Drosophila melanogaster: one gene and its partners. The protein of the gene in region 4 purifies or fractionates together with the protein of the main gene of each other region. This does not show direct contact. Each region holds a gene or a part of one and is shown on either strand. Other genes may lie near its edges. The genes, in order: Uxs, CG34205, CG10237 and CG11596.

Region 1 (5,701 bases), on a different chromosome or scaffold from region 4:
AATCCAACACCACCTCGCTGTGCGATGTCAAGATACTGGAGGTGCTCAATTCATATGAGCCGGATGCCTTGAGCGTCCAAACGCCGCCGCCGCAAGTCCACACGACTAGCATAACTAATGATGAGGCCTCATCCTCCTCGGGCAGCATAAAACTGGAGTCCAGCGTTGTTACGCCCAATGGGACTTGCATTTTCCAAAACAACAACAACAATGATCCCAATGAGATACTAAGCGTCCTTAGTGATATTTACGACAAGGAATTGGTCAGCGTCATTGGCTGGGCCAAGCAGATACCTGGCTTTATAGATCTGCCACTTAACGACCAGATGAAGCTTCTCCAGGTGTCGTGGGCAGAGATCCTGACGCTCCAGCTGACCTTCCGGTCCCTACCGTTCAATGGCAAGTTATGCTTCGCCACGGATGTCTGGATGGATGAACATTTGGCCAAGGAGTGCGGTTACACGGAGTTCTACTACCACTGCGTCCAGATCGCACAGCGCATGGAAAGAATATCGCCACGAAGGGAGGAGTACTACTTGCTAAAGGCGCTCCTGCTGGCCAACTGCGACATTCTGCTGGATGATCAGAGTTCCCTGCGCGCATTTCGTGATACGATTCTTAATTCTCTAAACGATGTGGTCTACTTGCTGCGTCATTCGTCGGCCGTGTCGCATCAGCAACAATTGCTGCTTTTGCTGCCTTCGCTGCGGCAGGCGGATGATATCCTGCGAAGATTTTGGCGTGGAATTGCACGCGATGAAGTCATTACCATGAAGAAACTGTTCCTCGAGATGCTCGAGCCGCTGGCCAGGTGAAAAGGATTATGCGGGCGCCCAAACTAGTTGATCTAGCTGATAAGCAAAGGTGCAAATATAGTCTTAGGTATATATGGATGTATACTAGAGTAGATTAAGCGTAGGATAAGCCATGTATATAAATAGTAAAATACTTGTCGGGTAAGATTAGTTCGCAGAAAAAATCTCTTTTAATGGACTACCAACTACAGCAACTGGAAAACCCTACTTATCTTCTAGAATCGGGGTGTGCTTACACTGGTTAAAGGCGCATATAGGTGTTATGTGTCTAAAGTTGTGAGTCACAGATCTTCAATAATTTGTTCAATTCTCACTGGTTCTGATATATGTATATGCCGCAACCTTCTGATGTAACGTATGAATTTGTGGGCACTTTTAAAATACGATAGTGGTTCTACAATACAATGGATTATACTGTTTCTAAGTGTCATGTAACCCAGTGATTCTGTGTCTATGTGGTACACATGCGGTCAAAAGAATAGCAATGTCGTCCGTGAATAATAAACCGTTTGTAACTGTTGTTTCCATACTCCCTAAGTTCTGTATTCTTTGGGGATTTTCTTTTCCTAAACAAATTCAAATTAGTTTTCTAGAATTCAGTGCATTTGATCGCATTTATACATCACTATTTCCTAATCCATACATAGGCTGATATATCGCAAAACTTCAAAAAATTAACCATGACAAAGGTATTCTGTGGTCCTTGAGGGCTTACAATTAGTGCTAACGATGGTCATATTTACATTTGCAGACTAGAGACGTTCCATCATCACCAATTAGAGCTAAGCCCAATTAATTCTACGGTGTATGTGTATCAAAGTACTTGTTGGAGCTTTCCTGAAAGCGATCGCTACGCGCCAATTCGTTGCGGAAGTAGGAGATGGTCCGCTGAAGTCCAGTCTCTAGGGGAACCTTTGGCTCCCAATGGAGCAACTGGCGGGCTCGAGTTATGTCCGGTTTTCTGCGCTGCGGATCATCTTCCATGGCCTTCGATTGCTTTATCACACTGGGCCCGCCGACCAGTTTCTTGATGATCTCGGCAAATTCGCCGATTGTCTGCTCCACAGGATTGCCTAAATTCACCGGCTGTGTGTAGTTGGATGCCATTAGGGCTATCATTCCGTCCACCAGATCCGAAACATACTGAAAGGAGCGCGTTTGTTTGCCATTTCCATACACCGTAATGGTTTCATTCCTCAGCGCCTGAAGTATAAAGTTTGACACCACTCGTCCATCGTTCATATGCATTCTCGGTCCATAAGTGTTAAAGATGCGCGCCACTCGGACTTGCACTTTCTCCTGTCGATACAGATACATTTAAAGAGCAATTAATTTGACTCCCAGATTGCTGGCCAAGATCAAAAAATGTGGTCAGTGCTCGCGCTTGGAAATCTTATCTCGCGTCAGCCAACCGAGCGGAACATCAATTAATAGCATTCCAATTGAGATCATTTAATGCTCAACTAGCGATCGAAACAGGAAAAATCTGCCACATTTCTGGATCTCAGCTAGTTTAATGTTTTTTTTTCGATCTGGCTTAGGAATGTGGTTATCCAAAAAAGTATATATATTGCTAAAGGTATTACCTGTTTGGCATACGCATAGCTCAGCGTCTCGGAGACACGCTTTCCCTCGTCATAACAGGCTCTCGGTCCAATAGGGTTTACATGTCCCCAGTATGTTTCTGGCTGCGGATGCACTGTGGGATCGCCGTACACTTCCGAAGTGCTAGCTATCAAAACCTTGGCCATCACGCGCTTGGCCAGACCTTTCAAAAAAGATATACTCGTTAGGTGTAATCCTTATTTTCTTTGATTGATATTATAAATATTTACCCAGTACATTGATCGTGCCCATGGTGTTGGTCTTGATGGTCTTCACCGGATTGTACATGTAATGCGGTGGCGAGGCTGGCGATGCCAAGTGGTAGATCTCATCGATCTCGATGAAAAGCGGATTCACTATGTCGTGGTGGATGAGCTCGAAGTTCTCGTGCCCCAGCCAGTGCTCGACATTTCGCTTGCGTCCCGTAAAGAAATTGTCCACCACGATGACCTCGTGCCCCTGGACCATCAGATCGTCGACCAAGTGGGAGCCCACGAAGCCAGCTCCTCCGGTAATTAGTATGCGTTTGCGATTCTTATAGTTCAGGTATTTAACCTTCGGATACTTGCGCGGTGTGCTGGTCTGGAGGCTACGAACTTGTTCCTCCAATCTGGCCAAATTCTCCCTTGTGCGCTGGAGTTCGGCCTTTTGTTCTCGAATAAGAGAGCTCTGCTCCTCGTACGCCATCTGAAGGCTCCTTTGTAGCGGACTTTCCGTGGGCGGCCATTTGGCCTGAACCTCCTCGACGCCGGGAACGGAAACGGCGACCTTTCCGCTTGGGCAGAAGCTGGCCATTCGGTAAAGGTAGACCAGGAGCAGGAGGAGCAGCGAGATGGCTGCAACGATCTTCAGACGCTTTTTGGTGGCAGTCATCGTCGGTTATGGGTTGTGTACTGCAGGGTTCCAGTGCTTATCAGCAACTGATATCGCCACATTGCATTCTCGTTCGGCTTTAGAAACTATATAAACAATACAATTGCGTTATCAGGAGGTGCCAGAGTGGCCAGATGGCTCAAACGGAATTTCTAAATGGATTAATAATCTAACGCCAGGGAAAAGCTCCCGCCTAATTTTAAAATTTACATCAAAAGTATCGACAGGCGAACATTTTGATTTTGGATTATAAATTATAATGAATTGATAATGAATTAGACATTTTTGTTGGTGATCTTCCCCAGGGACGAATATTTTTCGTTTTAACGATAAAAGGTCGGAAATTGCCAAAAAATGAGTTTGAAAACTAAATTTGTTTGAGGGCTTTCTTAGGCTGGTCAGCAGGGACTACTTTCCGAATAAAGTGTTTGCCCAAACGGCTATTGAAGGCTATTTAAACTGCCAACGATGAGCATCGATCGCCAGTCGGGCAAAGTTCTTAGTGCCAAGTGTTGTAGTGCTCAGCATGAGGCTTCCTTGGGTGATTTTCTGTACAGTTCTGCTTTTAATTTTTACGAACAACTCAAATGCAGATATTCCCGGGTGCAACTACTACGACACGGTTGATATCTCATACATTGAAAGGCAAAACGATTCGTATTTATATGATGACATCGAAATTCCTGCTAGCTTAACTGGATACTACGAGTTCAGGCAGTTTGGGGACGGTTCGATTACGCCGATTGAAAAGCATTTAAGGGCCTGTGTTTGCAGCGTGCGGCCCTGTATTCGAATCTGCTGCCCAGCCAAGAACTTTTTGGCCAACGGAAAATGCGATGATGGTCTCAAAGAGGAGCTCGCCCGGTTCAAACCCTATATATACTTCACATACATGGACCTACAGGCACGAGTACCACTCACCGATATGGCTATTATCAGAGATGAGTTCTTTGATTGTGATGAAATGATTTACATCAGCGACTTTAACTATTTCTTAGAAGAGGTTAGCATTCAAATCTTCAATAAATGTGGACTTATAGTTTGGTTCCAGGATGGAAAATTTTGGGTTACCGTTGACCTCTTCATGGAAAAACAGGACTACTGCTTGTACCGGCACAACTTTGATTCGGATTTTCCAAAGTCCATGTGGATAATACGACACCGCTGCACAAGCCACATATCTCCTGGATCCTTAGAGAGTAATTCAATTATTATTTATAACAAAAGTCATCAATATCGTTTTCATAGCTATATAGAAAGAAACGAAAATAACTCCTTATTGGTGTGCAAACTGCTGACTGCATTCTGTGTGCCCTTTGCAAGTTTTTTAATTACAATAAGCTGGTTTTTTATTTCTTATATTTTCTTTTTCAGTTCTAATTATAACAATGATATGCTTTGTCCTAACAATCGCAGTATATCTATACATTAAGAAGCTGCGAAATGTTACTGGCAAGTGCATTGTATGCTGTATAGTTTCGAGGTTTATCCAGTGCTTGATCATGATACTAGATCATTTAAATCTATTGAATGGCATTTGCTCTCCAGCTGGTTAGTTCGAATTGGAGATATCTCTGGAAGCTTTAAATGTTATATCGTTGACTTCTTGCAGGTTACAGCTCGCACTTTTTCCGGATGGCTTCCAACCTCTGGCTCTCCGTCATCAGCTACCATACGTGGAAAGTCTTGACGTCGCTCAATCGAGTCGACCCTAACTATCGGTTCCTGCGGTACAACGCCTTCGTCTGGAGCACAGCCGCAATCATGACGGGAAGTATTTATATAGTTAATCAGATTTGGGAAAACGATCCCAGTAAATGGAACTGGTTGCCTCTGGTCGGTTTTATTCGGTGCTCGGTCAAAGGTAAACTTTCAATGCGATTGCTTTTAAATCGTTACCATGGTTACGTATTGCTTTTCCATATCAGATTGGCACCCATCCGTCTGGATCTATATAAGTGGACCGTCGCTGGCCCTGAGCACTTTCAATGTCGCCATGTTCGCCCTGACAGCCATTTACATTAGGAAAGTGAAGGGGGGTATAAATAAGTTCACAAATGAGGAGGAGGGAAGGATTAACTGCATAAACTTTGACAGCCAGACGTAAGATATGATAAAACCTTGGACCTTGGTAAACTAGTTATCCTTGCCGTATTATCCACATAGTTACCTACAGTTCCTGCGGCTCTCCATCGTGATGGGCCTTACTTGGATATTCAATGTCATTCCGTATTCTGCACGGCTCCACATTTTCTGGGAATGGGTCGGGATAATATCCGAGTATTTTCACAGCGCGTTTGGAATTGTTTTGTTCGTTCTGCTCGTCCTGAAGCGCAGCACATGGACTCTAATGATGGATTCTTAAGCTTGTTTCTATATAATTCTAATAATTGTTTACAATTAAAGCT
Region 2 (4,049 bases), on a different chromosome or scaffold from region 4:
CTCAATGGCCAGGAGGGGCAGGAGAATGTGGCGCTAATCTACGATGATCAGCGCAAGCCGATTGCGCCCAATGAGCACGTGAACACGCCATCCGGCTGGTCGTTCACGCAAATGTCCGTGGTGCTGGTGGAGAACGATTCGCAAAGGCGATACAACCCCAAGGGAATGATGCAGAAAATGACCGGCGATGTGGCAATTGAGTTCACGCTGCAAAGGAATCGGAGCTTCTACATGACCGTCTTCTATTTGCCGTTGATTGGTAATATGAAAATGTGTTTGATTTCTTGTTATGGAATAACATATAACTACAATATATTCTTTCAGCCTGCCAGATGTTCCTGATTTTGTCCTTTGTACTGCGTTCTACTCGTAGGAGTTCCCTCATTCTCATCGCCTTGCTGATTGCCGCCTGGGGTTTAATGTACATGACGCGCTACGCCTCTCCGCATTATGTGCCGCCCATGAGTAAGTTTTAAATCAATTAACTAAAACTCACTGTGTATAATTTTCAAATTCAAATTTTCACTTTTCCTACAGTGACTGCATATAAAGTCATCATGATGACCACCACCTATTGCTACATTCTGCACATCTGCATTATATGGCTGGATCTATATCCACCCAGATCGAAGGCTCCTGGCTGGCTGGTTAGGGTGATTAACTCCAATGTTCTGCGATGCATTCTGGGATTGAGATTTTCGGATGTGAGTAGTTAAGCCCCTATTGAACACATATACGTATTGCAATTCACTATATTCCTACAGTCTACCGACTATTGCGACATTCAGGAGAATCCCTGGCACCATATGGCCAAGATCCTGAACAACCTGAGTTCAATCTTGGTCATTATAACCTTTGCCATCGTAGATATTACGAGTGGGTTTTGAAAAACAGAATTTTTCTTTATTGTGCATTTGAGAGAATATTAATGGTTCTTAAATAAATAAGAAGTAAACAGAGAAGATTGTGAAGATTTTGCGACTACAAGTTGAAAAAGTGGGAGAGCGTGCTGGGCTGTTGCGACTCCTCGCAGTTAATTGCTGCCATTGTTCCAACTCCGATCCGGGATCGATTTGGATTTGGAGTGTTTTGGTATCGGAGCTTAGTGGTAACCGTATCCACCCAGGGACAGGGCAGGTGCAGCGTATGACTTAACCAGGGCAGGAGCTGCGTAGCTGATGGCTGGAGCCGCATATGACTTGACCACCGTGGGAGCAGCGTAGCTGATGGCTGGAGCGGCATGGGCGTAACTGATGGCTGGAGCGGCATAGGACTTGATCACCGGAGCTGGAGCAGCATAGGCGATGGCAGGCGCAGCGTACGACTTAACAATGGGCGTGGCATGGGAAACAACCTGTGCATGCAAAGTAGATTGTAAGATTAAATGGGAAAATATCAGAGTATATCCAGATCTTACCGAGCTGAAGTGCGAGTAGCTGGTGGCTGGAGCTGCCACCTTGACCGCCACAGGAGCAGCATAGGACTTGACCACCGTGGGAGCGGCGTAGCTGATGGCAGGAGCGGCATGGGCGTAGCTGATGGCTGGAGCGGCATAGGACTTGATCACCGGAGCTGGAGCCGCATAGGTGATGGCTGGGGCAGCGTAGGACTTGATGACTGGAGCTGCAGCTGCATATGTTATGGCAGGAGCGGCATGGGCGTAGCTGTAGTCCGGAGCCGAGTGTCCATAATCAAGGAGTCCAGGAGCAGCAGTGGCCACAGCCAGCAGAGAGGTAAGGATCTGGCGAGGTAAATGGAAAACCAAACTTTGATGTTAATCTTTTTGATCTAGTGAATATAAGATCGAGGTAATCCTTGTATGAAGATATCCTTTGCAGTCAGTATTATTGGCTTAAAGTGATAATACTGATCCTAGGCCGCATCCTTTCCAACCCTTTCCACTCACCAGAAGTTTCATGCTAGCGCTGGATAACGAATCACTTGGCTTGGAGGGAGAATTGCAACTGTAAGTGGACGTGTGCATTGCGTTACTTTTATACCCCTCGACGGCAGACCACGCACTCGCACTCTCGAGCGGACTGCGAACTGCGGACCGGAGGACAGGTGGTCGAGCGGACAGATCTTGACTAGATTTCGATCTGAGCCTCGGACGGACAAACAGTCAGCAGACAGCAGTCAACAAAGCGGGCCAAGCAGCACCAATTTGTGAAGTATCTCGGCTGCAGTGAAACTGCAATTCTCGTAGACGCAGCTCGGATTGGAGAGCCCCCAAACGCGGATGACGCAACCTGAACTGGAGCTGGGAGTTGGGAGCTCCGAACCGAAGGCAGACCACTTGCCGGCTAAGGAGTCGCCGCAGGAAAGGCGGTCTTTACACTGGGGGTGCCATTGTGGCTCGCATTTGGAAAGCGCACGCTAATTGAAATCGCTGATTAGCTGGCCAATTTGGGCAACGCGCCAGGTGACACGCCCCTCGAAAGCACGCAGCCTTGCCACTAACAACTTAATTAGCCAACGTAGAATGCCGTCTAATTGTTTTCGTTGCTATGTTTGAGTATTCTCGAAACAATTCTCGGCGTGGCGCTGGGAAATTCTCTCCAAATTGCATAATGAACGCTTGCCAAATCGGCAAACGCCAAAACCAAACACCAAGCAGCAATCCCCTCTGGCCGAAATATCTAGGCGAGCTTCATATTTATCTTTATCGTGCCTCGAATGCCGCTGCGTGCCACATTTGACCATATTGGATGGGTGATTTCAGCCGCAGCCACGCCGTCTCGTCTCGAGGACACTCGTGCGTGGCGAGGGGGTTTGGATCGAGTGGAGGCCCCAGTTCGCCAGCTCCAGCTCCAGCTTCAACTCGCCATCGATCCATCGACTTTGCCGGCTGAAATTGCCGGTTCAGCATCTGGCAGTTCGTGGGATTTTTTATGGCCGACTTGATTAACCCCACGGGATGTGCGGGGGTACGGAGGTGTGACATTGGGTCATCACAAAATTAATAATGCTACAAATTGTTGAGAATGCTCGTCGTGATCCTTATCACGGATTAATAGTGTCTCAAGTAATCATTATATCACTTATTCGCTTTAAGTATAGATATGGTGTATATATTCATTTCTTAAATGATTTATATTTTTGTGGACTTTACATAACTTTTTGAGACAATAAGGTAGTCCGTGTTTAAATACTTGCTTTATATATTAGGGTTAAGAAACTAAAGTTTGGAAAGCACATAATGTCTCAGATTAGCGCATGCAACTTGCAGCACTTCAGTGGAGTTCCTCTCAAGAGGTCTCGAAAACACCACTTCAACGCCGAAATCTCGTAAAAAAAACTCGAAAAAAAACTTAGCACAATGAGAAAAGGACAGCACGAAACGCCGCAAAAGAGACAGAGAGTCACCTGCGATCGCAGTTCATGCATAAATCATGCATGCCAGTGGAATGTGATTTATGTGAATTCTATTAGCAAATATTAAGTCAATAGGAGCAATTGTTGCCAGTGGTCGGCGACTGCCAAACAAGTGTTCCATGTCCAATTCGATCCGGACAGATGCGGACAGATCGGTGTTGTGTGTTGTGGTCGGTGTGTCGCCGGTCCTCATAAATAAAAGATTTCCCAGCCACTGCCCCACATTTTGGCCAGGTGGAAAGCAATTTTCCAGCAATCGGTCGGTGGATCAGAAGGGTGGCAAACTCGAATGCCAAATTGCCACATACTAAATGACGATTTAAGGCGATCAGCCGATCGATCCTCGTCTTGGTTTTTATGGCTTCGATCGAGAGGCGAGTCTTTAGCCGCATTTGGATTTGGCGATCGGGCGGCGTGTGCTCCAAAATGGGTGCAAAATGCCGCGAATTTTGGATGACGGGCCTAATTAGCCACTGGCCACAGAATGGATGAGAGAATTCAAAGCGATTGCCCAATGGATCGCAAGCGCAGAATTCTTCGCGGCGCACGCTGCGTATGCGTTATTTTTCGATCCATTCAATTAATTAACGCCGCTGCATTTGACTTGCAAATGCTTCGCGGAACGGCCAAGAAAAACATTGCAAAATGGAAAAGCGCCGCTTAATTAAATCAAA
Region 3 (8,132 bases), on a different chromosome or scaffold from region 4:
GCAATGAGTTCCTCAACTACGCAGATGTGGACCAGGACAAGTTTCCATTCATCGTGGTGGGAAATAAGGTGAGCCATGCTTGCAGAACGTTCATCTTGAGTTTAAAAGGTTAATTGCTTCCAATTGTAGAACGACATTCCGGCGCAGAAGCGACAGGTGAGCTCCGACGCAGTGCAGCAGTGGTGCGCGGAGCAGAAGGTGGCCTGCCACATCGAGACGTCATCGAAGGCGGCCACCAATGTGACGGATGCGTTCGTCCTTGGCCTTCGCCAGTGGCGGCACATGGAGTGCGTGGCCGAGGCGGAACTGCGCCAGCACGGCGACACCATTGACCTCACCCGCCCCATTCGCCTGGTGCAGCGGCGCATCTGTTGCACAGGCGGAGGAGGCGGTGGCGGCGGCGTAGGGCAGGACGCGGATGGCGATGATGCCGCCATGCACAGTCCGGGCAAGAAAGTGTTCGGCCAGAAGCGCAACGCCAGCAAGGCGCCAGCCACCAATTATCGGCTATGAGCAGACAGACAGGAGCTGTCAGGAAACTTACGCTTAATTTAACCACTCACCCCGCCGGGTTGACCTTCAGATTCAATGCATTCCAGTCCGCGGAGGGGCAGGAGCTTCAGACCGAAAGGCAACCCATCCACCCAATGTTGATGGCTGTAGAGAGTGGATTGCCTCGTTGTGGTTGATATTCTAAGGGAACTATGCTTCACAGCGAGCTAACTATGAGCTAGCTTCTATGTCAAGAATAGGATCTCCATTTTTACTTGCTATGCTTTAATATTATCTTACTAAGTTATTATTTTGTTATGTTACCGTATCGAATATATGCGGTATGAAATACTCTTATAACAATCGTATATAAGCTTTACCATAACCAAGTGTCTTGCTTGAGGAAAGCAAGCTTTAGGTGTCTAATGTACTACGCATAAGGCAATCAGAATGTAATCACTACATTTTTTCCTTATATATTGCATAATTTCGGAGTGCCTTAAGTGTGTTTATCTGATGTGAAAGCTGGGAACAAACGAATAAATATGAATACCGCACGTGTTTGTTTACAAAGTATGTTTATATTTTAACAATTGGTTTAATGTACAATAGTAAAATGATATAAATACGCTTACCCCGGATTAAAATAATATGCATGTAGGTATAACACTTCTTCTGGCTGCGATCGACACTCCGATCCTGGTTAAGACTAAGGCAAACTCTAGGCGCTACTCACTAACAGGACAAGCGTATGGTAGATCGAGTGCTTAACTATAACGCTCCACGTGGGCTTAATGTGAAGACGTGTGGAAACGAGTGGAGTTGATTATCACGAGCAGCACCAGGCCGGTGGCCACAGATCACTTCTTCTTGTAGCCGTACGAGTTGATGGTGTCGAACTCGGTGTCGCACTTGAGCAGCAGCTGGTACCACTGGTCGCTGTCGATGCGGCTGGCCTCCCGGAATCCTCCGTAGGCGGCTGGCAGGCACTTGGGCGACATGTATTTGTGCAGGGACTCGCGATCGGTGCCATGGAAGATGATCCTGCTGCGCAGCTTCTCCTTGAGGAAGGGCTTGAACAGGGCAAAGACCACCTGGAAAATCTTCGGCTGGTTCACGATGTGAATGGCCTTGATCCGGAGCGGCACCGAGTCCTGAAGCCAGTCCACAATGCGCTTGGCGAACGGAGGCGTAAACTGCCACGTTTGCTGGAGACTGAGGCCATCCATGTCGAAGATCACAACGGCTCCGCAGATCTGTGTTTCTGGCTCCAGCATGGCCGCCTCCAGGAAGAGCACAGCTCCCTTGAACACCTCATCGAGGGTGACCTGCTTGTGCTTCCAGCGCTCTGTAATCGGGGATTACGAAAGATTAATACAGGATCTGCTCAATGCTTGGAGCAACTATGAAACTTCAAATGATAGGAAAACCTGCATCTTAACTAAAATAAACTTTACTCTGAAGATCGAGATCTTTGCACTCAAAAGCTAATATATTGAAGTATCCTTCTTTCAGTGTACTTACTGCCCAGTTCGAGGACCAAAATGCGACGACCCAGTTGATCTCGGTTGGGGAAGACGGTAAGGATGTTGTGCTTGAAGATGTTGGCCTCGTTCGATGGCTTCAGGTCGGTGTACACATCCGCGTGCTTCACCTTGAAGGCGTAGTACCGCTTAATCTGTTCCATATTCAGAATATATACAATTAGTAACACAGCTGGAAACTGGGTTGCCACACTAGACTCACCAGATCACGGGCACTTTCCGGGTAATACTTGCAGGGCCGCAGGTATCTGATCAGCCACTCCTCGTTTCCCTTGGGGTACAGCAAGTCCGTCTCCGCTGGAAGCATATCGCAAATATTAATCGACCTCACCTTCAATAGTCTTAATTCTAAAAAGTCACTAAACCACTGGCATTAAGTTTATCCAGCAATTAAAAGGCAATCGTAATTTGTAACAATAGTTACGAATCTTATGCAACGAAATCCTCTCGAGGGCGCGCTGCTTTTAGCCCCAACTTGTTATTAGTGACACGAAGTCGCCAACTAATGATATAGAACTATTCGTTCGAACTTGGTGTACAAATGGATTTTCAATTCCCAACAATCGGGTAAATTATTAGATGCAGGCTAAGTACGAAGTTTATGGCTTAAGTTTTATTAACTCAAGTTTTTATCAGCTTTTGGAGATCCCTCGGATATAAATTATGAAAATAGCTTAGCAAAATGCATATTGTATGATCTCAGTTCAGATATATGTATATACTTTAAACAGATGTAATGCAGTTTCAATGACTTTCATCATGTGAGTTTTAACTCATGTAGTTAATGTATAATTATATTGATTCAAAGTAAAACTCCATTTCTGATCACGACTCACCTTCTAGAAGACGGGCCAGCTCCTTGGAGGCCTCCTTCTGGCGCTCGGGTGTTTCGCGCAGCTCCTTGATGGCCACCTCCTTGCCCTGGGCAGTCGGCTCGCCCAACTCGAACTGGAGCGTGTAGTCGCCCACCTGGAGCGTGGGCAGTTGGTCGATGTCCGACAGCATGGTGGGTACTCCTGGAAGGGAAGCAGTTGGGGTTCGGTTAGCGACAGCTTCTGTACTTTGAGCTGGGGCTGCGGGTTTCACACTGAGAGCACTGGGAACTTTGGCCAACTAAATAACTTGAGCTAACTGACATCGATTGCCAATTAGTTGTCATACTTCACAATTACTACTTACTCATTTTGCAATTGTTGCTGCTCTGGCTGAACTGAAATTATTCTGCGATTATATTAAGCTATGTGCTTTTTCTAAGCGGTTCGCCGCTGTATATTTTCAGTTTGCCAAATGTAAAATTGTGCCCTCTATTTATAAGAAGAAAAAAGCGTAGAGATTTCAATTTATTAGCGAGACACAAGTGACTCGGAACCGGCTCAACTGCATCGAGTTTCTAGACTTTCCCGCCAGTCAATGCGATGATCGTCTAAACATATCCATATATGTATTCATTTATTTATTAATCACCTGGCCGACCTTCACCTTGACATTCGCAAATTGCTTAAAACGGAAGAAGAGGCCAGAGATTCGCGAAGATAATGCAATTCTTCAGAGATCAGAAAATAACGTTAGGAGCCTTGAACTAAATTCTGGAGACACTTGACGCGTTCTACTTGAGCGTAATTTCCAGTTAGGCAGGTTTCGAATTGCGAGATGAGGAGCCAGGGTCTGTGAGCTTATATAGTGGGGCAGTTGGATATCAGAAATTAGCACACTAGATTTCCCATCAAATCGGAAATTAGCGCTGAAGATTTCCCATCAAATCGAAAATTAGCGTTAGTGCTGGCTCGAAACAAAAGACTAGGAGATTAGCATCCGAAGCGCTGACATTGAAAATTGCTACCAATTTCGGCTAGATGGGCCAGGTGATTTGCTTAGGGTATCGTCTGTTTTTGCATTCATGAATGATACACAAGAGTCTACTGAATCGCTGATGTTGTGTCTGGGAAAATACGAGATCTTAAATAGTACACACGGATCACAACACAACACAAGACAACACAACACGACCGAAACTAGTTTGGCCCAAACTTAAAGGCTATAATGGTATAATGGCTAACAGTATTCCGCAAAGACGGCCCAAAAAACCAGCTGCGAGTGACGCGTGCAACGGAGCTGAAAGCCCAGATGAAACTGTTGCGGCCAAAAGCGCGAGTCGAGATTTTATGCCAGGCCAAGAATTAAAACTGGAATTGTGAGCGGAGCGGCATGAGAGTGGGTGTCGCCGATCGAGACGCCAGTGCTGCCAAGTGGGTTTGTTTCCCGACAGTAACTACTTCTGCTATAAGGGGGTCTTTTAACTATAGTTGTTTAATGCTTTAATGCACCAAAATGAAGTAGTTTCAACATAATAAGCTTCTACTGAAACATATATTTTCTTGCTTGCTTGCACTAGTGATGGGGAATAACTATATAATGCTATTATATGAAACAAGTTGTGCACCCATTAAGTGATCATCACCAGCTGAATCTGAACTTGAGCATGACATTCACGTGCCTCGCAAGAGCGTGGAGTTGCTAGATGGAGAGACACATGGAGTTTGCCCAGGGAGAGCGAGCAAGCTTTACTGGGTCTGGGGTGCATCGTCATTGGGAAATGATGCCACCGCCACCTCAAGCCGGTTTCAGTTTCGCTTTCAACTTGGACTTGCCTAATTTATTCGGGTTTTCTTCGGGTAATCGCCCACAGTACTATTGGGCTCTTGAAAATCCCTTGGCATAGGCATTTCCCATCGCGACCCTGAAGCCCCGTGCCCGTGCATAGCCATCCGGTTTCAATGCTGCCCAGCTACACGCCAATTAGTGCTTACACCTGTTCGGCGTACCTACACCTGGGGTCACCCCACTAGCAATTTGTTGGAGACCACAAACATTGGACACTTGAAAGCATCTTCAACTATTTATAGATCATAGTTATAGATCATAAGATCGCATCTAATGACACCGCATCACCATGTCATATCATATGTCCCTATTTTCTCAGCCCCATGTGTTAAGCCAGGCATATTTGGTATAATTAACACGTCCCAAAGCCGAGCACCCTCTGCGTTGTGGACAGCAAATGGTTCCCGCCCGGTTTTGGACAAATCGGTTCAATCGCACGATCGCACGTGCGAAGACTTCGGCCATTCATGGATACGGATTTACGTTGCGATGATACTCTCGATTTCATTACGGCCAGTTTCGGTCATTTGGTCAATTTTTATTGGCCATCTCGAAGCGGATGCTGACGAAAACTGGGTGGTACAAAGCTGCGAGTATATGGAAAAAACTTGAAGCGAGTAATATGAGTAATTCTGGGGTTACGACCCATTGCAATGTCAACCTTCGCCCTTCGGTTTTTTCTTTGCAAAAAGCGTGTTAAAAACCCTGCATGAGAAACCTGCTTTTGAAGAACGTGACAATGGCGGTTCAAAAGCAAAAGTGCTTTGACCTTACTCAAGAGATGGAAAAAGTACAAGTCGGTAGATATTACTGACATCGAACAAATGGATTGTTACATGAATACTCGCTTGATGTCCAAACAATTTAGATGGCATATCAAAAGGCATTGCAAAAAGTGTTGTTTTTTTTAAATTATTTATATTTTGAATACCTTTTAAATACTCTTTCTCGAACTAATCGTGACTTTCAATTACCAGCACAACTGTATATAAGTTTTTAACAAACTGGTGTATAGTTTTTCGAGCAACTGTAGCCACGCGCCTTATATAAATACATACGTACGTATATAGAAAATAATTCTATTTGAGGGAGATAATTCTAAGAAAATGCATATAGTACTTGCAATAAATATACGATAAAAAATGGGGTTCGGCAGATTTCGCTATTGCTCACCAAGTGGGAATTCAGAGGGCAGGCACCTCATCGCAGATGCAGTGGTCAGCATGGTCATGGCGATGCAGATCGAATGAATACACACACAAGTTACTTTACAACTAACTAAACCGGTATGCACATGCAAATGCTAGCGTATGTAAATAAATTAATATTTCTTTATTCAGGCTGATCGAGTCGGGAGCATCGGCGGTGGCTAAATGGGTCAATGTCGTCGGCGAGTTACTGAACTTTGTCTGAAATTCTCGAGCGACGAGTGCGAAAGGGGGGAATGCATGCAACAGTAATGAGCAAAAGGCAATGCAAAAAACACGGACAGACAGTGATGCCTCGTAAATAAGGGCTGAGCGTAGCTACATAGTGATAGTGATGGTGATCTGGCTAAGATATTTTTATGGTCCCTAGCGCTACACACTCAGAAATGCACTCTTAAAAAGAAAAGCACTCTATATGTATATATATATACAAATGTATATATGAGATCCAATTACTCACCTTGTTTGAATTGAAAATCGGCTAATCCACAAATAGTTGGCTGGTACAGTGGAAATCCTTCGGAACTCCCGTTCGACTCCGATATATGTACCTAGTGAGCTTGGGTCGCGTTTGAAGACTGAAAATACAAAGCTGCTTGTCAAATCGTTTTATAGCCGCCCCTTTTATGCACTGCGTGCATTGCACATATGTATTGTACGACAAAGTTATAGTTATCAAGATATATACATAGGTCGGTCGGAATAGTCGGGCACTCGTAAGGCCAGCGCGACTTAATAGGTCATTATAAGCGACCGATTCGAGTTAAGAGCTCTAAAGATCACGTCGCGAATCGCCGCATGGGATCTTCTTTTTTTTTTTTGGCTTGTTTTGCATAAGTTCACCTGAAAATGGTTCACTGAGCTCAGCATTAATTTTATGTTATTTCCATTGTTTTTAGTACGTTAAAGTGCCAAGACAAGTGCGGTATTTCTCACGGTGCAGCGCACTCAATCGATTTTCCACAGCAATTAACATTATTAAATATAATGTTGCAGAAGGTACACTGAAAGTAAGTGAGTACTACAAAATTCAAGAACTTTCTTCACTTTGTGTGCACTTTTAGAAATGTTCTTGACTTAAAACAATATAGTTATTATTATTATTATTGAAAAAATCCGTACTTTCTATCAGGAAATCCACTTTGCTATATTTTGTAACTATATACACTTTGTAACTTGTACTGTTTAGCACTTTCGAGAAATTCTCATCTGCCACTTGCGAAAAGTCCACTTCCTATATTTGTTCTAGAATGTAAACGAAGGAATATTTTCATTTCTCGTCGCAAAATACGAAATTTTTAAGTTAGCTATATAGCATCGGGGCACTTTCGCAATCGCGGCACAGCTTTATATATGTATATATATTTATATTAAGTGCGTGTTCTGAGCGTTTCGCACAGTGTATCGTGGTTAATCTTCTGATGGTTACGCGACTTGGATGCAATTAGACTTGAACTTTTGAACGCTCCGTACACGAGTAGTTTAAAGACTAATCGCCTTCGCCACTGTGACTGAGTGAAAAACGAGTTTGTAATCCCTCTTACGGATCGTAAGTGTGTAAGTTATTGCTTTGGCTATCACTCCTCCCGTTCGACACAACAGTAACTTTCTGCTTTTCTGCCGGACACTAGCTAATGTACCTTCTTTCGACTGGCGTGTCCGCGTTCCACGATCAAGTGATCAACTGACTGACGGGGGCTGTGGGTAATTCGAGCTCATTTGCTTTTAGTTTCAAGCACGAGCAATTAATTAAGTATTTCACTGCTCGCCGTTTCCAAATGTATTTCCATGCCATTTCTTGCGCTTGCCTGAGCCCATTCTGCGTGTCGGACCGCCATTCCGCCATTTAGCCATTCGGTCATTCCGTCCTCCAGTCAGACGATCACCTTCGAGCACGGAGCTACGTCAGCCTTTAAAGTCCGGCGGAATTTCGTTGGGCAGCCAAGTGCAATTAGCTAAGTCGAAGTACAGAACGCTGAAAGTTAAAAGTAACCCACTGATGGCATTAATCAATTTACGAACACGCAATCCCAGCGACAGCTGTTGATACGCACAGCGCGCTTCACATGGACATACAGACAGACAGACGGACAGACACTCCATTATCTATTAGGTATTTACATGCATTTAATTTGAATGTCAAATTCAGATTTATGGCCTAGCCTATGAGAGTTACAAACAATGAGAGTCGATTACATATGAATTTACACCTATTTCTAGTTCTACG
Region 4 (5,803 bases):
ACATCTTCTGGGTCGGCGATTTGAATTACCGCATCCAGGAGCCGCCCGGCCAACAGCGACCAGGACCACTGAGCGATGCCCAGACATACGAGCTGCTACTGCAGTACGACCAGCTACGTCAGGAGATGCGGCGTGGAAAGTGCTTTGAGGGCTACACCGAGGGCGAGATCAAGTTCCGGCCGACGTACAAGTATGATCCGGGCACGGACAACTACGACAGCAGCGAGAAGCAGCGGGCGCCGGCCTACTGCGATCGAGTGCTCTGGAAGGGCACGCGCATCGAGCAGCTGGCCTACAACAGCATCATGGAGATTCGGCAGAGCGATCACAAGCCCGTGTACGCCGTGTTCCAGGTCAAGGTCAAGACTCGCGATGAGGTCAAGTACAAACGGGTGCAGGAGGAGGTGCTGAAGGCAGTGGACAAGCGGGAGAACGACAACCAGCCACAGATCAATGTCGAGAAGACGGTCATCGATTTCGGGACTGTGCGATTTAACGAGCCGAGCACACGGGACTTCAACGTCTATAACAACTGCCCACTACCTGTGGACTTCAGTTTCAAAGAGAAGGATATACACGCCATCTGCGAGCCATGGCTGCACGTCGATCCGCGCCAAGACTCGCTGCTGATCGACTCCGCCCGAAGCATTCGGCTGAAAATGAACGCCAATGTGCGCACCATTGCCGGCTTGCTTCGCAAGATCCGTGCTAGCGACAACTTCGATATTCTCATCCTGCACGTGGAGAACGGGCGTGACATCTTCATCACGGTTACGGGCGACTATCAGCCCAGTTGCTTTGGCCTTTCCATGGAGACGATGTGCCGCACCGACCGTCCATTAAGCGAGTATTCCCAAGATCAGATTAAGCAACTCGTGAGTTCCCTTCATTTTTGTAATTACGAAGTTTTTCTACTGATCACGAACCACGTTTCGTTGCAGATGAATGACGAATCACCGGAATACCGTGTGACGATGCCCCGGGAATTCTTTCTGCTGATCGACTATCTGTACAGGCAGGGCTCCAAGCAGGTGGGCGCCTTCCCGTCCTACGACTCGCGTCTCTCCCTCGGCGCTCAATTTAACTCGGTGCGCGATTGGTTGGACACCTGGTCGGATGATCCGTTCCGTAAGTGGACTCTATTAGATTGCCACCATAATAGTTGTGAATATTCCCTTACAATCTACAGCTGCCAACGCAGAGACGGCTGCGCAGGCGCTGCTGCTTTTGCTGGATCTGCCGGAGCATGCTCTGCTGGAGCCGGTGGTCGAGAATCTGCTGGAGTGCACCAACAAGTCGCAGGCTATGGACTACATTTCGCTGTTAAGTCCCCCCAAGCGCAATGTTTTCATGCACCTTTGTATGTTCCTGCGCGCGGGCATCGAGAGTCAGTTCTATGATCTGCATCAAGTCGGTAGGTAGAGAAGCTCCAGCAGCATTGTACCACCATCGTAACGCCATTCCTCCCACACAGCATCCACCTTTGGCCGCATTCTGTTGCGAAGCACCGAGCGTGCCGCCTGGATGGACTACCACAGCCGATGCATACAGTTCATGCGGCTCTTCATCGACACCGACGTCGAGGCAATGGGCAACGGCAATGAGGGCGCCGGAACTGGAACAGGCTCGGGATCTGGGACCCGGGCGGGTCTGCAGGCATAGTCGCCGCAGCTGTGCCGCCGAATCGGAAGCGAGCGATAGATGTACTACTCTGTTGATAGTTACGCATAGTGTTAAGCTATTTATTTTATTTGTTGGTACTTTGTTGGCACTTAGCATTTATATCTTCTCTGTTTTAACTGTTAATTGTTTGTGCCCGCCCTCCGTTCATTCCAACTCGGTTGTCCCCGCCTGCATCACAAATCCATGGAGACACGCAACCAGCAACGCAAAGATAAATGAATTGTGTAAATAAGTAATTCGTTTAGCACGATTGTTTGTTAGTTTAAATTAATGAAGTGACCCTCTTACATCCCCGTTTCAGTTGCAACTGAAAATAAATAACACCGTTACATACAGTATCAATATTCTGAAAAATCTCTACATTGGCTGTTCACATATTTGGCCACGCCCGCCAAAATTTTCAAAATTAAAAGACGCGCTACGGATTTGTGAGTACGGATGGTATCGATTAAATTCCCAAAGTTATCGACAGTGTAACCAGATCTAAAGTGGCGACTTCAGTTGACGGCAGAGACGACAGCAGAATGCAAAGGCAACGGATTACTCCCAGGATTTAAATAGCATAGATTATCGTTGAAACCGCTGACGACGCGCCCAGATGAGCTCCATGGACTGCGCCACGTTCCCAATGCATCCTAAAATGGACGAGCAACTGGCCCGAACCTTCGTCATCAACGAGGAGGAGGAGGAGAAGCACATTCAGAAGGTGCAGAACGCCTTCCTTTACTATGGGTAATTGTTATTGTTTTTGCGCTGTGTTCTGGAGCACATGCTCCAAACGGACGCTTGCCAACCGATCGTCGTTGAGGGGGGGCGGTGCGGTGACAGCGACATGTGCAGACAAGCTGCCGACAAACTACCGTTTCGTTTGGCGCCAGTGCTGGCGGTGCAGGAGTAATCACGCCAAATCTGGCTAGTGTTTTCAAATGGCTCACCGTTCCTTAGAAGACGCATCTTCTAAAGTATCCAATAGAGCCAAACTACAACTGAGTGTTCATTACCACCATTACTGACATTTGGGTGAAAAATATCTGCATACCAAAGATATCAGATTGCCCATACAGCGTTTGTAAACACTGTAGTGTGTCATCACTGGTGATAAGCGTGCTTGCTGATAATGGAAATCAATTAATTTCTCCCATGCAGGCCATATGCGTGTCAGCGGCTAAAGCGCTCCATGGATTACCTGAACAGCCTGTCTGGCGAGGACCAAATCATGCTAGCCAAGTACCGAGGGCATCTGGAGTGCGTGCGCACGTGCATCGATCGCAACCAGGCGGTTATCCGGGAAATATTGCGCGGGCGTGTCCTCTATCCGACGGATGAGGCGACTGGTGATCCCTCGGAGTTTGACGAGCCGCCGCCAAATGTGCGGCACGGTGACATGGACCAGGTAATTGACTACATCTGCGGTTCAATGCGGAAGCTAGACGGCGCTCCTTCATCATCCCACAAATCCCAATCTAATAGAATTTATGTTCCTCTTTTTACTTTATCTTCTATTTTTCCTACCGCTTTGTAAATGGTCAGTTGAATTTGTCCCTCTTTATATTTTCAAATATTAGAATTACTTTTGGTAAAACAAGGGAAGAGTAATATGTATCTTTAAACTGGTCATTCTTGTGCTTAAAAATTGTTTCTACATGTCAATAGACTACTCACCTTACGTATAGTTTAATGTGCTTGGTTATCCTCCAATATCTTCAGTTTCTCTTTTAATTATTGATTGGAACTATTCGGTATTGTTTCTTTTCCATATCTGTGCACGACACCCAAACCATGCATCTCGCACCCGCTCTAATTCAACTCGCAGATTGATATTCCATTCGATGAAGCTGACGTTGAACCTCTAAAAATTTTAAAGGCCCAGTCGACGTTGAAGTTGATTGCGCGCGACTGGAGCACTGAAGGAGCCTTAGAACGGGAGCAATCGTATAAACCGATCATCGACAGCATCGTTGCGTACTTCAAGCACAGCGATTTGTGAGTGACTACTACACTAAGCGTACTTTAGTGGTCTTACTAATTAATTATTCATCTGCTTTATCTTAAACAGCGAGCTGAAGGATATAAAGATCCTAGTGCCGGGAGCGGGGTTGGGACGGCTCACCTACGAGCTTGCCTGCTTGGGGTACTCGTGCGAGGGCAACGAGTTTTCCTACTTCATGCTGATCGCCTCCAATTTTGTCCTCAACCTGTGAGTCCAGCTCAGTACGTTGCTTTCTAATGCTGGGTATTGAACGTGCTCTGTTGTCTCTTTCGGCAGCTGCGACAACGAGAACAAGTACGTGTTATATCCGTGGGTGCACCAGTATGTGAATAACTTAAGGCGTGAGGATCAGGTGGCCCCCGTTCGTTTCCCAGACGTCTGCCCGCTTAAAAATCCACCCAAGGGCCATTTTGAAATAGCAGCTGGCGACTTTCTGGAGGTCTACAAGACGCCGAACGCCTACAACTGCGTGGCTACGTGCTTCTTCATCGATTGTGCCAATAATGTTATTGACTTCATACGCACAATTTACAAGTGAGTTGCACACATTTGAACGGGTATACCGGCGATGTTGATTTTAACATTATCGTTGCAGAATCCTCGTGCCTGGTGGCATTTGGGTGAATCTCGGGCCGCTGCTGTACCATTTTAGCGACGTCAGCGGGCAAAACAGCATCGAGCCGGCTTTCGAGGACCTTTGCATTATCATGGAAAGCGTAGGATTCGTTATCGAGAAATCACGCACCGGCATCCGTACCAAGTACGCACAGAACCCGTCTTCAATGAAACAGAGCGAGTACCAGAGTCTTTTCTGGGTCTGCCGCAAGCCGGATCTATTTGAGGAGCAGCGGGGCAAACGCAAGGCCTCCAGGGAGCCACACGATCTTATTGTGCGCGAGGACAGCGAGGAGGAGGGGGAGCAACAGCCGGAACGAAATGAAACGGAAGAAAAACAGCAACTGAAACCGCTGGCCACAGCCAACTGCGAGACTGAGATAAAGGAGCAGCCATCGTGATAGCCATTGAACCAAACTCAACAACACATCCAAACACCACAATCAAGTCCAAGTGCAAACCCACCTACAGATGGCATCACGAACATCTTAATTACCACGTCACAGGCAAGACAGGGAATCGACACTGCAGTGCTTCGATGTTATAGATTACACTTTATACCTATTATTTACTCCTACACACTGTTATATATGCCAGTTTTAATTTTTCAAAGGATGCAAATTTTAGGACAATTTCTCGCTCATTATGCTCATCATGCTAACTTAAATGGGAAAAGCGTCCCAACTAGGTCAACCAAATATATCAAAAGAAAATTTTTAAAAATTAAGATAAAAAGTTTTTATTTGTTCAATTACTAGTGGCTTTAAACCGATACCTACCAATTCGATAGCCTTATTAAAGTTAACGCAAGTTCCACTTGCATCAGGGTTCTCGGCACTCGCTGCCGCATACCTCACCTTGATATGACAACCAACATGCTGTGGTTCTCCAAATAATAGTCAAGATAGTTAAGAGGGTTCGAGTTTACGATTAGCTTTATTTTAAGATTCAGTTCGCGATCTGCTAGCGGTTCCGTTATGTGTCCGTTCGAGACTGGGCCTCTTCTCCCGCCCCGCTGCTTTTATATCCGCTTCCCCCGTTGACCCCTCACCCTGAGTGCGACCAACGGCACTTGTTCCGAATGCACACATACACAAACATGTTCCTAGACAGGCCCCGAGTCGCCTGCTGACGGGGCCCGAAAACACGAGAGCCGAGCGCTGGTGAGTCCTGACGAAGATCGCAAGAAGAGGGTTCGTAACTTACACGAACATGTTACTAGACAGGCCCCGAGTCGCCTGCTGACGGGGCCCGAAAACACGAGAGCCGAGCGCTGGTGAGTCCTGACGAAGAGCGCAAGAAGAGGGTTCTTAACTCCTCCCCCCTCAAGATCTGCGTCCCGCAGATTAGTGAGCCTTGTTCAGCTCGGTTTGGCCCAATGCTTCTAAGTTTGCGGCAATCTCGCGGACATCGGGCATGCCTTTGGTGGACATCAGCTTCTTCCATAGGAAATAAAAGCCTAGGAATATGCAGATTGCGAGTGCCGCCTCGGTGAGAAGAGAGGCTAGTAGCTCA

What was found.
Region 1: the proteins of CG11596 (region 4) and Uxs purify together in Drosophila melanogaster (affinity purification with mass spectrometry, with the first as the bait; one large-scale study listed by BioGRID). This does not show direct contact.
Region 2: the proteins of CG11596 (region 4) and CG34205 purify together in Drosophila melanogaster (affinity purification with mass spectrometry, with the first as the bait; one large-scale study listed by BioGRID). This does not show direct contact.
Region 3: the proteins of CG11596 (region 4) and CG10237 purify together in Drosophila melanogaster (affinity purification with mass spectrometry, with the first as the bait; one large-scale study listed by BioGRID). This does not show direct contact.

Annotation. Positions count from the first base shown.
Region 1 is NT_037436.4:8,178,633-8,184,333, reverse strand, and holds Uxs (UDP-xylose synthase), read right to left. Parts: upstream 3,412-5,701; 5' UTR 3,294-3,411; coding exon 2,651-3,293; intron 2,584-2,650; coding exon 2,402-2,583; intron 2,115-2,401; coding exon 1,614-2,114; 3' UTR 965-1,613; downstream 1-964. Other genes in the region: ERR (estrogen-related receptor), read left to right, coding at 1-815; mthl7 (methuselah-like 7), read left to right, coding at 3,820-4,492, 4,668-4,844, 4,906-5,157, 5,222-5,396, 5,460-5,658.
Region 2 is NT_033778.4:22,129,227-22,133,275, forward strand, and holds CG34205 (uncharacterized protein), read right to left. Parts: upstream 2,074-4,049; 5' UTR 1,985-2,073; coding exon 1,907-1,984; intron 1,742-1,906; coding exon 1,418-1,741; intron 1,355-1,417; coding exon 1,103-1,354; 3' UTR 888-1,102; downstream 1-887. Other genes in the region: NtR, read left to right, coding at 1-259, 325-465, 538-704, 765-887.
Region 3 is NT_033779.5:19,434,794-19,442,925, forward strand, and holds CG10237 (uncharacterized protein), read right to left. Parts: upstream 6,115-8,132; 5' UTR 5,929-6,114; coding exon 5,871-5,928; intron 4,174-5,870; exon of another isoform or gene 3,501-4,173; intron 3,341-3,500; exon of another isoform or gene 3,220-3,340; coding exon of another isoform or gene 3,216-3,219; intron 3,053-3,215; coding exon 2,873-3,052; intron 2,334-2,872; coding exon 2,239-2,333; intron 2,171-2,238; coding exon 2,017-2,170; intron 1,841-2,016; coding exon 1,353-1,840; 3' UTR 1,057-1,352; downstream 1-1,056. Other genes in the region: Rab9, read left to right, coding at 1-68, 130-513.
Region 4 is NC_004354.4:1,925,505-1,931,307, forward strand, and holds CG11596 (uncharacterized protein), read left to right. Parts: upstream 1-2,178; 5' UTR 2,179-2,281; coding exon 2,282-2,415; intron 2,416-2,667; exon of another isoform or gene 2,668-2,761; intron 2,762-2,829; coding exon 2,830-3,076; intron 3,077-3,496; coding exon 3,497-3,666; intron 3,667-3,739; coding exon 3,740-3,880; intron 3,881-3,949; coding exon 3,950-4,207; intron 4,208-4,268; coding exon 4,269-4,689; 3' UTR 4,690-5,006; downstream 5,007-5,803. Other genes in the region: Ocrl (oculocerebrorenal syndrome of lowe), read left to right, coding at 1-875, 942-1,128, 1,190-1,414, 1,475-1,662. UniProt on the Drosophila melanogaster protein: S-adenosyl-L-methionine-binding protein that acts as a sensor to signal methionine availability to the mTORC1 signaling pathway.